Linked DNA regions of Drosophila melanogaster. The protein of the gene in region 1 interacts with the protein of each later gene in a pairwise test. Each region holds a gene or a part of one and is shown on either strand. Other genes may lie near its edges. The genes, in order: jbug, CG12206 and alc.

Region 1 (3,757 bases):
GCCTAGGAAAATATTCATTGGATGCCATAAAAATCTCACATCGCACATATGTAGTTGCTCCATGGCTCTCTAACAAGCTGCCGCAGGTTGTTATTTGTCGCTGCTGTTATTCCGCCCTTAAATTTTTAAGATTCCTCTGATTTTACGATATGAACTCGAGTTTCGTTGGGAGTTGCGTTTTCACCTAACAAAATATATATGTACTTTTATTTGCATATAAATTTTTGCTATATGTCAGAAAATGTCTAGTCATTCTATTACGACAGTTCCATGGTGGCAATCATTTTGAGATAATTTAATTCTACCTGCCGCAACTGTTGTTGCACTGCATTAAAACGTTAAGGTCATACAATGCAGTCACTTTGAATATTTCTCTCCGTGTATCTGCTCCCATCAAAGCATTTCCCTTTTGTTTGCACATGCATTTGTCATACAAAGTGGATTGCAATATTATTTGTCGCATACGCATGAACTAGAATTGTAAACAGCGTAAAAAACGCAAACTTGGATGACTCGTTTTGGTTTGGTGACCCAAATAGACGCCAGCCAGGTCACAATTAGCGCTGTTTACTAAGGGGTCTTCAGCCTTGCTCATCACATATGTACACATACACGTATGTATGTACGTTTTTGGCCCAACCGAAAAAGTAAAAAAAAAAAAATAAAACCCCGAATTTTATACTCGAAACCGGGCAAGATCGCGCACAAAAGCTTTAGCTTGTTTTGTGTATTGTAACTGCTAATGGGAACTCGATGCGTTGGCCTTGGCATTCAACCGGCCAAATATGGTCGGTTCAGGTCGTTTCAGTGCGGTGCGTGTGAGAAAATCCGTCGAAGCGAGTGACAGTTCAAAAGTCCCTGGACAAATGAAATGCATTGTTGGCAGTACACATAAGTCCGTGTGAGTACTCTTGGCATCATTGTTAATGTAATTGTCGTTGCTGCCATTGGAGTTCAAGATCTGCGTGGGCGATTGAGCCGAGTTTTATGAGCCCGGCCTTTTAGGGAAACTCGCGGAAGAGCTCGAAGCCCCAGTTTATGATGGCGATTTATACTTTTACGTGTTCTGTCACCAGTCAATGCGCTCGTTATGCGATTATATTTAGCTTAAATGGGATCAGTATATGAACTTCAAAAACCTTGCTTTTAAAGTGCTTCTTAATTGCGATTTATAATAATCGAAAATTTTATTTGTATAGAGTTCAATTAAAAAGTGTTCATTATTTCACATATTCATATTTTGTTTTCTATCCCTAATTACACTTCATTAAGCAGTGCCACTTTTTCTATGTGCAACTGCCTTCGCAAATCATTTCCTGGCTAAAATTCCAGATCTAAACGTTTTGTATTTCACTCATCGATTCTCAGGCCCTGCTTCATCAATAGTTCTACGAATTCCACATTCAACGGAGCTAGCCCATTGATTGGGTAATTGTTTTTTGCGCTTGATCGATCAGATATTCAGTCGGCGGCAGGCATTACTCAGTCGGTTAGAAAGTGTTGCATAATCGGAATGTAAATATATCTACAATATATCTATGGCTTAACTCACCTGCATTCCCGTTTCACGCAAATGCTCGTTGACCCAGTTGCGGAATGTGTTCGCCTGGATCTCTACCCAGAGGTCCTCGTTGCCCCGTATGTTCATACCCTTGGCGGCGGTGCCCTCGGGACTCCGGGCCACCAGACCGGCATGGGTGATCTTCTGCGTTTCGGTGGTTCCATCGGAGTTGTGCTTGAGCAGCCCCGCATGCGTCACCTTGGCGCCTTTTATGTCCTTGACGTCCATCTTCACTGCACGTCACTGCACTTCACCTGCGACTCGCACATATGTATGTACAGATGTAACTCGCGTTCGAAACACTGATCGGGAGAAATGGATAGATCGCGATGAGATACTTCTGATCGCTGTAAGTTGTAGCTATGCTATTCAGTTTCGGTTTCAGTATCAGTTTTAGTTTCGTTTGCACGCGCTCGCGGCCCGAAGCGAACTGGAACTGCGCTTAGCTGGTCGATCTGGGCGGCTCTGCTCTCTTGGCCTGGCCAAAACAAACGATGACGTCATGGCCAAAGCTCAAAGCTCCAGAGAGCAGCAGGAGAATTTATAAAAAAAAATGCGGGGGGTTTCGCCAGCGAATGTGTGTGTGCGAATATCTCTGAATCTGGCTATAAAGCAAAACTGGTTTCGTCGCTTCCAAGCCAAAACGAAGCGAGCGAAAAGGAAAATTGAATACAAAAATAACAAAAAGGCGAAAATAATACAAAAAAAAAGAGTCTGTAAAATAACAGAAATCACTTAGTTTGGAATTTCGCCGCGGCAACAGCAGGCAAAAAGCGAGCAGATCTGGTGGGCAGTACTGTGGATGCCAGTGGTTGTCGTGAATGTGGCTGTTTGGGCAAGTCTTTCACAAACGTTAGAAGGCCAACATGTGTGTAAACGTGGGAGCCACCCCAGAAGATAATGGACGTAATCACAGCAATGAAATCTGCCACGATCAATTGTCAATTGTTCGCCCGTTTTCACTTGTCGCACTTTTACCCAAACAATTTGTGCAAACCGAAAGTTGGCCGTCTGAATGGCCTTTTTGGCATTTTTCCACACGGCGTTGCGAAGACAACGAGGCGTCAAATGACCGTCTAACCAACTTAATTATAGGAAATCCGGTTGCGTTTCTAAACAAGTCAATTGCCACAGATCGCATATATCATAGCACGTCCAGTTCTGAGCGAGGCTGGTATGCAGATTTTGAATACGAATACGAATACTATTTATTGACAAACACTTTTCGGAGAGGTAAACAACTCTGGGATGACATCACTCATCACTTGCTCGGCACAGCGATGAGTTGTGGCTTGAGCACTTTTTTAACGCCCCGACAGGAGAATACAGTGCGAGAAAATCATGCTGACTAATATTACAAAAGACAGTTGACGTAGCTAATCTAGTAACTCTTCAATGGAATTCCTCTTAAAACATCAATTAACTACTTAAATACACCGCTTTGCCGCAAACTAATTTGTACCTTAATTTATTTTAAGCAGAGATGTCATTGTTGTGTTTTTGTCTCAGTGACAAAACTGCGTGGCTTGGATGAAATAAATTAACCAGCGGGGACAGCAAAAAGTGGAAATTAATGAATTGCTCCTCGGACTTATGAGTGATCCCGTGGCTGATGTCATTTACTGACACTTGACATTGGCAATGAACCTAATTAGTTGCACTCGCCAGCGGAGTGGAATGAGCCCCACTACTCGGCGAGTTCTATAGATTCAGCTGGCGGCAAGGTCATGGGAATGGTCATGATAATGGTATTGGTGGTGCTATTGGCCAAGGGGAATGGGAATGGTAATGGTAATGGGAATGACCAATCCGCTTCTTAGTTTACTCAGTTGGTCAGCAGGTAAATATCGAAAGTGTTGTCGTGACTTTAAATGGCAGAAGAGGGCCAGCTAGCACACCTAGTTTAGGGCATTACGTAATGGCCGAAATTTTCGACTTTGAATGGGCAAAAGTGTACGTATCGTAGGCTACAAATCGGTGTATCTATATCACAGAATGCGATGTGCACGTAGGTGTCTGGCATTTTTTACACTTTTCGATTTGTTTGCTGTCCGAATATACATTCGTATATACTTATTTCGCTTTTTGCCTTGCAAACCCACACGGCCAGCCAAATCTCGTAGTCGTCGTCATCGGGACAGCCACCCACATGGTTGGTTGGTTCAACGCCTCGTTCTAGACGTGGGTGCGATTTCA
Region 2 (3,757 bases), on another chromosome or scaffold:
CGTTCAGCTTCACCACACTTATCTGCTTGCCCAGTGTTCGCTGCTGACCCTGGCTTTCGATTTGAATCTTCACCGTATTGTTGTGTTGCAATGTTGCCGCTGTGTCCGCTGCTGTTGCTGCTGCTTGACTGGCGGCAATTTCACCATTGCAGCTGATTATGGTCGGTGATGTTGCTGTTGCTGCTGCTGCTGTTGCTGCTGATGCTGCTGCTTCTGCTGATGCTGTTGCACCGGCAATTTCTCCGCCAATGCGCAACAGTAACTGCGGATAGATTTTGTTGGTCTCTGGTGCTGCTGTCGACTTTGCTGCAGTGTCGTAACTAGTTTCCAAATTATCTTTGGCTGTTGCTGCTGTGTCGCCAAATGCCAGCAACATGCCAGCAGCCTGTGACTTGAGCGACATTTCAGTGTTGCTGTTGCTCTTGGCAGTTGGTGCTACTTGTTTTGTTGCGGCTTCTGCTTCGGCAGTTGCGGTTGTTGTTGCTGGTGGTGGTGTTGCCGTTGCCACTTCTGGCGATTCAATGATTATGGAAATACCGCGCATTGGCTCCAATCGCGACACATTGCTAGTAATTGCCGCCATGGTTCTGCAGCATCTGGTTGTCGATATCCGATTTCAGATATCCAGTGCCTAGATCTCGTGCCTCCAAGCTGATGCAATCAAGTGCCGGCTAATGATGTTGCTCCTGTGCGTTCCACTTGCAGCTGCCTCTGCCTCTGCCTCTGTCTCTGCCGTTGACCGTTGCCAAGTGCTTTACAGTTAGAATGCCGCCTGCATACGATTGAAGTAATTGCCGCAGTTGCCTCTGCAAGAAATGTATTTATGCCAATGAAATAAAGTTTTATTTATTTTCGACTGAAATTTTGACGAGCCGTTGAGATTCTAATAGTCTAAAAAATGTCTAAATATGACCCCAAAGCTAACCAAGATAGGTATTTTCAATTTCTCCAAGTGTGTTAGACGCCGCCACACGAGCTTGACATTTAAGTTGAAGATGATGCTGAATAAATGTTAAAGGCTTTACCAGCATACTAAAAATACAGATGGGAAACCAGACAAAAAAAAAAATAATAATAATCATAATAATGATAAACACGAAACACCGCAAAAAGCAGAAAGAACTGGCTAAAGAATGTCGTAAGCAAAAGGAATATAAAATTCTGAATACCCTGTAATTTTTGCAGCTAATCATTTCTTTTCTATACATATTTGTAAACTAAGCAATTAATTGAAACAATTTAAATATAAACAAAAGATAGTTATTGTAACGAAATCAACTTCAGATATCATTTCGTTATTAATGTAGCTACATATGTATGTATGTAGCAAGCCGTATCGATTAGTGCAGCAACTTTTTCGATTCCGACAGTGAATGTTCTTCAAACTTAAGAACGAGTCGGAATTTACATTTAAATTGCTGAGGAGGAACTTGAAATATTGGGCGCGCACAGCCCGCGGCATTTTTGACTGCGGTTTTTTACGATTTTTTTTTTTCTCTTTGGAATCTGGAAACTGGTTACACTTGAACCTGGTATTTGTGTTTTTTTTTTCGTTTGTTGTTTGGAAATATTTACCCGTTGGTATTGCTGTTGTTGTTGTTGCTGCTGCTGGCCTGCATTCGCCGCTTATTGCACACAATTTTCATTTGATAGCATACCAAACAAACACACACACAAAAATAAAACAAAAATTGAAAAAATCGAAAAAATCAAAAAATTCAGAGATTTTTTATTGGACTATATTTTTTCATATATTGCACACACGCACGCAGTCTGTTTTTTTCCTTTAGATTTTCATGTTGCTGTGCTTACTATCAATCTTTGATCTTTCGTTGGGATTCTTCAGTTACTATATGTAATATATATGTATATATATGCACATGTATATCGGCTTGAAAACACGACTTTTGAGAACTCGCCGCGCGTACAATCCATTCAAAATCGCGCTGGCAACTGAAGCCGCAGCAACAAAGTCGCTTTGGGTTGGCGTGTTTCGCCAGGGATTGTTTTTTTTTTTTTTTTTTTTTTACCACTTCTTCTTCTTCGCATAGTTTCCTCTCTGTCTGCCGCCCATTCGCCGACTCTTTCTCAAGCCAGTTGTTGTTGAGGTTTTTTTAATTTTTGCTTTCAAGAAACTCACAAAAAAAAAGCAGCAGCCGCTGAAATTACCTAAAACAAAAATAAAAGAGCTTCAAGGCGATGGTTTAAATACACTGTCAGCAGATTTATTAGCTTATTAAGTACGCAATTAAGTCAGATTTCAAGTATTGCCCTAATAATTAATAATATTTACTTGCTACACATTTGCTTAATTATTTTTCAATTATATTGAAAATATATTATATTTATTATTAAATGCATAGAAATAGGTTGCATTTATTTGACATAGCCTGCATGTTGCACGATGAGTGCAAAAGTCAACTTACCCCAAAGGAAAAAGCGGGCAACAAATATGCGCCGCTGAGAATTTGTTTACGTGCGCATGCGCAGCCGCTGTCGACGGCGCTGCCTCTGCCGCAGTCGCTGCCCATGTCGACGTCGGCACTTGTCCGTCGCTTTTATTATTGTTATTGTTATTGCTGGTCTTGTTGCTGCCGCTGCTGTTGCTGCTGCTGTTGCTGGCGGCGCAGTACTCGTTTGTTGCCAAAGTTAATTGTTTGGTGCCACAGCTGCACAGTGGGACATCGAGAGTGCGCGGGGCACAGTGGGCAGTGGCAATTGGATGGCTGAATGGAATGTGGCAAGGCCTCAAACTGGTTTTCAGTTTTTAGGGGCTCAGGTGCGGCGATAACGCGATTGAGACTTCAACACGAGAGCAGGAATTCCGATTCCGCTGGCAATCAAAACAGCTTGCCGATCAAATTGGTTCAGTTCGAACCAAGAAATATATATATGTATATATATATATAATAAACATATGCACTTCTGGATCTCTGAAGCTGAAAAAGCTAACGAGTTGACCCCATGCTGATTCTAGTTTCAAACGAATCCTCCTCTTTGGACGCATTGGTCGCATTGTCGCCCAGAAATTTCCGCCTTAGAAATATGTACATATGTACAACTTAAGCATAAACAACAACTTTCCATCAAGCGACTTCGTCGCTCCGGCTGAACAATTGCCAAATGGATTTTAGCTTTTAATTATATTTAATACCAAAGTGTTTATGCAAAGGAAAGAAAAAAAAAGAAAAAAACCGAAAGAAAGACGCCTCGAATTTGTGTGTGCAATCAACGGAATGTAAAGCTGCACTTGCAGTATGCAGAAAGTACGAGTGCAGCAGCCACATGCAACAGGCGCTGCAGCTTGTAATTTACCGCTAATTCGATGCAGTGAGACGTCCAACGATGACGACCACTAATGTATGGTATGCATGTACGTATGTATGTACTTATGTATGTTTGTGCTTGCCACCGCCACCCGTACCGCCCCCAGTGGTAGAGGTACCGCTCCGCCCAGCACGATGGCCGGTCACTTGGCCAGTTTGTTTCCGCCTGTTGCGCTCCGCTGAAGTCACAAGGGCTGCTGCAGGCGTTGGCCAATTCAGATTACCGTTGCACATGCGCACACACACTCACACACTTTGCTGCACTGTGAGAAAGGAGTGACACTTGTCCATCGATTGCCAATGAAAAAAAAATATTTTTTAAAGAATTTTGTCGCCTTTCGTTACATTTGTATATGTTTTACAACTTATTTATCTACATTTAACAATTTAATTCCATTTTTTTTTCACTGTGTATTACTTCTAGTCAGTGA
Region 3 (3,757 bases), about 14 Mb from region 1:
ACGGACACTAAGTTATTTCTCTGTCCCTCGGCGTTCTCCACGCTTTTCTAAAATAGCAAACCGATAAGCTATAATCAAATTGTCTGTAACAATAGTTTGGGCAATTGGGACAATATCTGCAGGCCTCGGGTTGAGTTCAATAAAACTCATGAAACTTGATAGCTGAGTTTGCGATAAAACAAAAATTGGGCAATACTTCATGAAAATGTGGCTGGGCAATGACTGCTTTCTATAATTAATAACGTACTGTTGCTACTTGTTTCGAGCAATTTTGAATTATATACAACAATTTGGCTTGCTACATATATATATAATACAAAAATTTGTTCAATGGTTTGCTTTCGTTTTGCTTACTAATTTAAATGTCAGATAAACTACATTATTTATTAGTCATTAAAACCATTATGGTTTAAATACGTGAGCTTCGTGAACTATTCTTAATAAAGATTTAAAGTCTGTGCATTTAGTAATTCATTTCTGATTGCTTTTCGTCTTCATGCAATTCTGCAACTATTTTAACATTGCGAAGTAGGTCATATATTCTATCACAGTCCTGAACTTTGTTATCCAGAAAAATATTTTATCTAAGAAAACGTTACTATTCCCTTAAATCTTTTCTATAGTTCAAATTGTTCGCCTGATAGCAATGTTCAATGGTCACTTAGATAAACTGTGTCCACAAAACTAGCGACATCCAACCGGATTTAGTAGTAATCTACAAATGGGTTTTATCGCAGTTTGCTCCCTTAAACTTGTAACTTTAATTGCATTTGTTATTTGCGAAGCATTTGAACGGGGTTCCTCAAAAAAAAAACAAAAAAAAAGCTAAAGCCGGATGAGCATCTCTGAACCCAATTGAAATCCACTACGATTACTGGGAGACTTCGTTTTGTTTACGGCGATTACACAACCCGGGGCGAAAATCGGTAACTGCGTCATTCGGGCGCCCGAATCAAAAACACTGAATAGCCTGCTGCATATATTGATTTTCCGCCCAACTGACCAGCTTGGGATCGTGCTTCCACTCGCCGTCCACGCAGAACTTGTACTGATGGTCGCCCTCCGGCAGATCTATGATGGTCACGAAGTTCTGATGGCTGCGCACCATGGCCATGGGCTTCCAATCGGAGAATGTGCCCGAGATGGTGACGTTCTTGCCGCCGCCGTCCCACCGCAGAACTGTGGGCAGTGCCGTCTTCCGGATGTCGTCCTCATCGCCGGTTAACTGAGATCCAGTCGCTGGCTCCGCTCCTACCGCTGCCTCCTCCTCCTCCTCGTTGTTGTCCATGCTGGAGTGGTCTCGGGTAACAGCTGATGTCGCGTCGTCGTGTGCGGTGCCTCGTCTAGTGGATCCAGTTCCAGTTCCCGTGTAGTACGGGTCGTCGTCTTCTTGCGACGAGCCCTCGTTCAAGACTGCCGTATGTTTTTTGTCGAACGAGAAAGCTTGGCCTCCGCCGCCTCCTCCTCCACCCCCCGCAGCTCCCACCGCCCCCGCTGCAGCGCCCAGAGCTGCTGCGCCAGCACTCCCGCCCTGTCCCGCTCCTCCTCCACCAATCGAATCGCGGAAATGTGCGGGAGAGCTCGGCGTGGACAAGTCGGTCGACTTGTGGCGCTCGCGTTGCATGTGCACGGAGGAGCTGGCGTTGCCCATGCTTATTGCCGTACTCGCTGGCTCGTCGGCAGGTCACGGACCGAGTATAATGATTGGATTTGGACTGGGTTCGACTGCTCCCTTTGTTTGGCACTTTATACTTCGCTTTAAAATGGACTCGCGTTTTTCGTTGGATTACTCTAGTACTCTGATCACATCACCGTTCGTGGCTCGAAGTCTGTGTGTTGTATTTGGCATTTAGTAGGCAGAAAACTGCATTATTTAATCGTTTGTTTCGTAGAAAAATTGCTAATTATAAACATTTACATATATACACAGGCAGTATATTCGCAGTTCCAATTGGCGAGAGCACACGCAGGGTTGCTTTCCCGTGAGTTCAAAACAAAGAAGTTATCGGGCGACAGCACACAGTGTGCCGCCCTGGTCTTAGCAGCTGTGACCGTTATCGGAGCTGCCACTCGATTTGAATTTATAGTTAGGTTGAATGTTCTGAAAATTAAAGTGTCATGGGTTTCCAGCACCTTCAGAAAGTTAAGATTACGTGGAATTAGATTAAAGTGGCAGCCACTCATTAAAGATTTTTAAATTCATAGCAACATTCTTTCAATTCTTATCATTTCAAGACAATAGATTGCATCGGTGAATTGCTTGAGTTTAATCACTATCCCAAAGCTATCAACCAATTAATAAATAGGTTAATGAATCATACAATTTATCTATTTATTTATGAATTCAACAGAATTAATTCCACTGAATTATCGGCTGACAAATCCAGATTAAACGGGTAAAGAGTGCTTTCCTAGTCGACTATATTCCTGTAAATGCGTAAAACGAGCATTACAACAGCGGAAAACTGAGGGTGCAAAGTCCACGACAATCAACATGCATCGGAGCACAATAAAAAGGCAAAAGTGGAAAGGAAGACTAGGCAAGACCGAGAAGAGTGACAAAGAGCGAGGGCGGAAGTGCGGCGAGGACAAGGCTGATCTGCGATGAACACCAGGTAGAAGGTAAGTGTATCCACCGCACAGATTTAGCCAAAACAGTCCAAAACATATGTATGAAAGCAACTAAAAGAAACGGCGATCAAAACAAACAAATGTTTGGTACCAGTGTACCACAGATGTAGAAACCAGACGCTTTCCAGACTATGGCAGCACCCCAAGAAACTCTTGGAAATACTACTCATTGCTACACCGCACATATGACGTACACTTGGAGAAACAAGCACATTCCAAACAATGCGTATGTACCTAGTTATTTCATTACAAGGAATTGAATTTAATGTACCCAAAGTTAAGCAGTAGCATTTAGTATTTATGTTTTCTGGATATATTAACTGAATGAATAGGAAACTTGTACCTAAATCCATTTCAGATCCGTGCCATTTCTTCCAGTGCACGAGCGGCTTTCCCATGTGTGTGTGCTGCGTGGTAGCCACTCACACAGCGGCAAAACACGACGCCTTCGCATTTAAAATTGATTAAAACTAAAAACACTCGATGCCGACGCCGTGCCTTGTTTCGTTTTCAGTGCGATCGCAGACATTGTGCAAAACGGTTCACAGTTCTCTCCTCGCGACTGCAGGTGATCGAGTTTTTTTCGTTTGAGTGCACTAAAAAAAAACAGAGCAAGCGCAGCAACTGGAGTTGGAGTGAAGCCCCAGGAGTCACGTCCCTTTCGAAGTCGAGTGAACTAAGCATTTAAGGTAGGTCAGTTGGATGGTTGGCTACAATGGGTTGACCTCGCCCGGTTATTAGTCTCGGTTCACTTTGCATTTGGTGCTCTTCAAGGTCCGCAGCCCGCTTATCTGGCCACGTCCGACTAACCCATTGATCGGAGCCCAGAAGGCCCGGCGGAGTCCCAAACAACTTAACTATTTCCCATGGCTCCCGAGGGCGGCGCGTGTTTGCGCCGATTCTCGACCACGTTATCAGCGATCTGCTTAGCCAGTGAACTGTTCTGAACTGCTAATTGATAATATGTATGCGGCAACACCTACATATGTACATACGTATGTGTATACTTACATATTTAGATTCGAGTTGAAACTGCGTCGCATTTGCCACTTAGTTGCCGTTTTCCCAAAGCCTGTTTGATCAGCCTACTCTTCACACATACTCCCCTCCGGATGAAGCACAAAGA

The links.
Region 2: the proteins of jbug (region 1) and CG12206 interact in a two-hybrid assay, tested with the Drosophila melanogaster proteins (2 studies listed by BioGRID).
Region 3: the proteins of jbug (region 1) and alc interact in a two-hybrid assay, tested with the Drosophila melanogaster proteins (2 studies listed by BioGRID).

The regions. Positions count from the first base shown.
Region 1 is NT_033778.4:22,735,053-22,738,809, forward strand, and holds the start of jbug (jitterbug), read right to left. Parts: upstream 1,994-3,757; 5' UTR 1,790-1,993; coding exon 1,553-1,789; intron 1-1,552.
Region 2 is NC_004354.4:3,472,566-3,476,322, forward strand, and holds the start of CG12206 (uncharacterized protein), read right to left. Parts: upstream 1,960-3,757; 5' UTR 1,576-1,959; intron 886-1,575; exon of another isoform or gene 807-885; 5' UTR 584-806; coding exon 1-583.
Region 3 is NT_033778.4:9,135,949-9,139,705, forward strand, and holds the start of alc (alicorn), read right to left. Parts: upstream 1,986-3,757; 5' UTR 1,652-1,985; coding exon 1,004-1,651; intron 48-1,003; coding exon 1-47.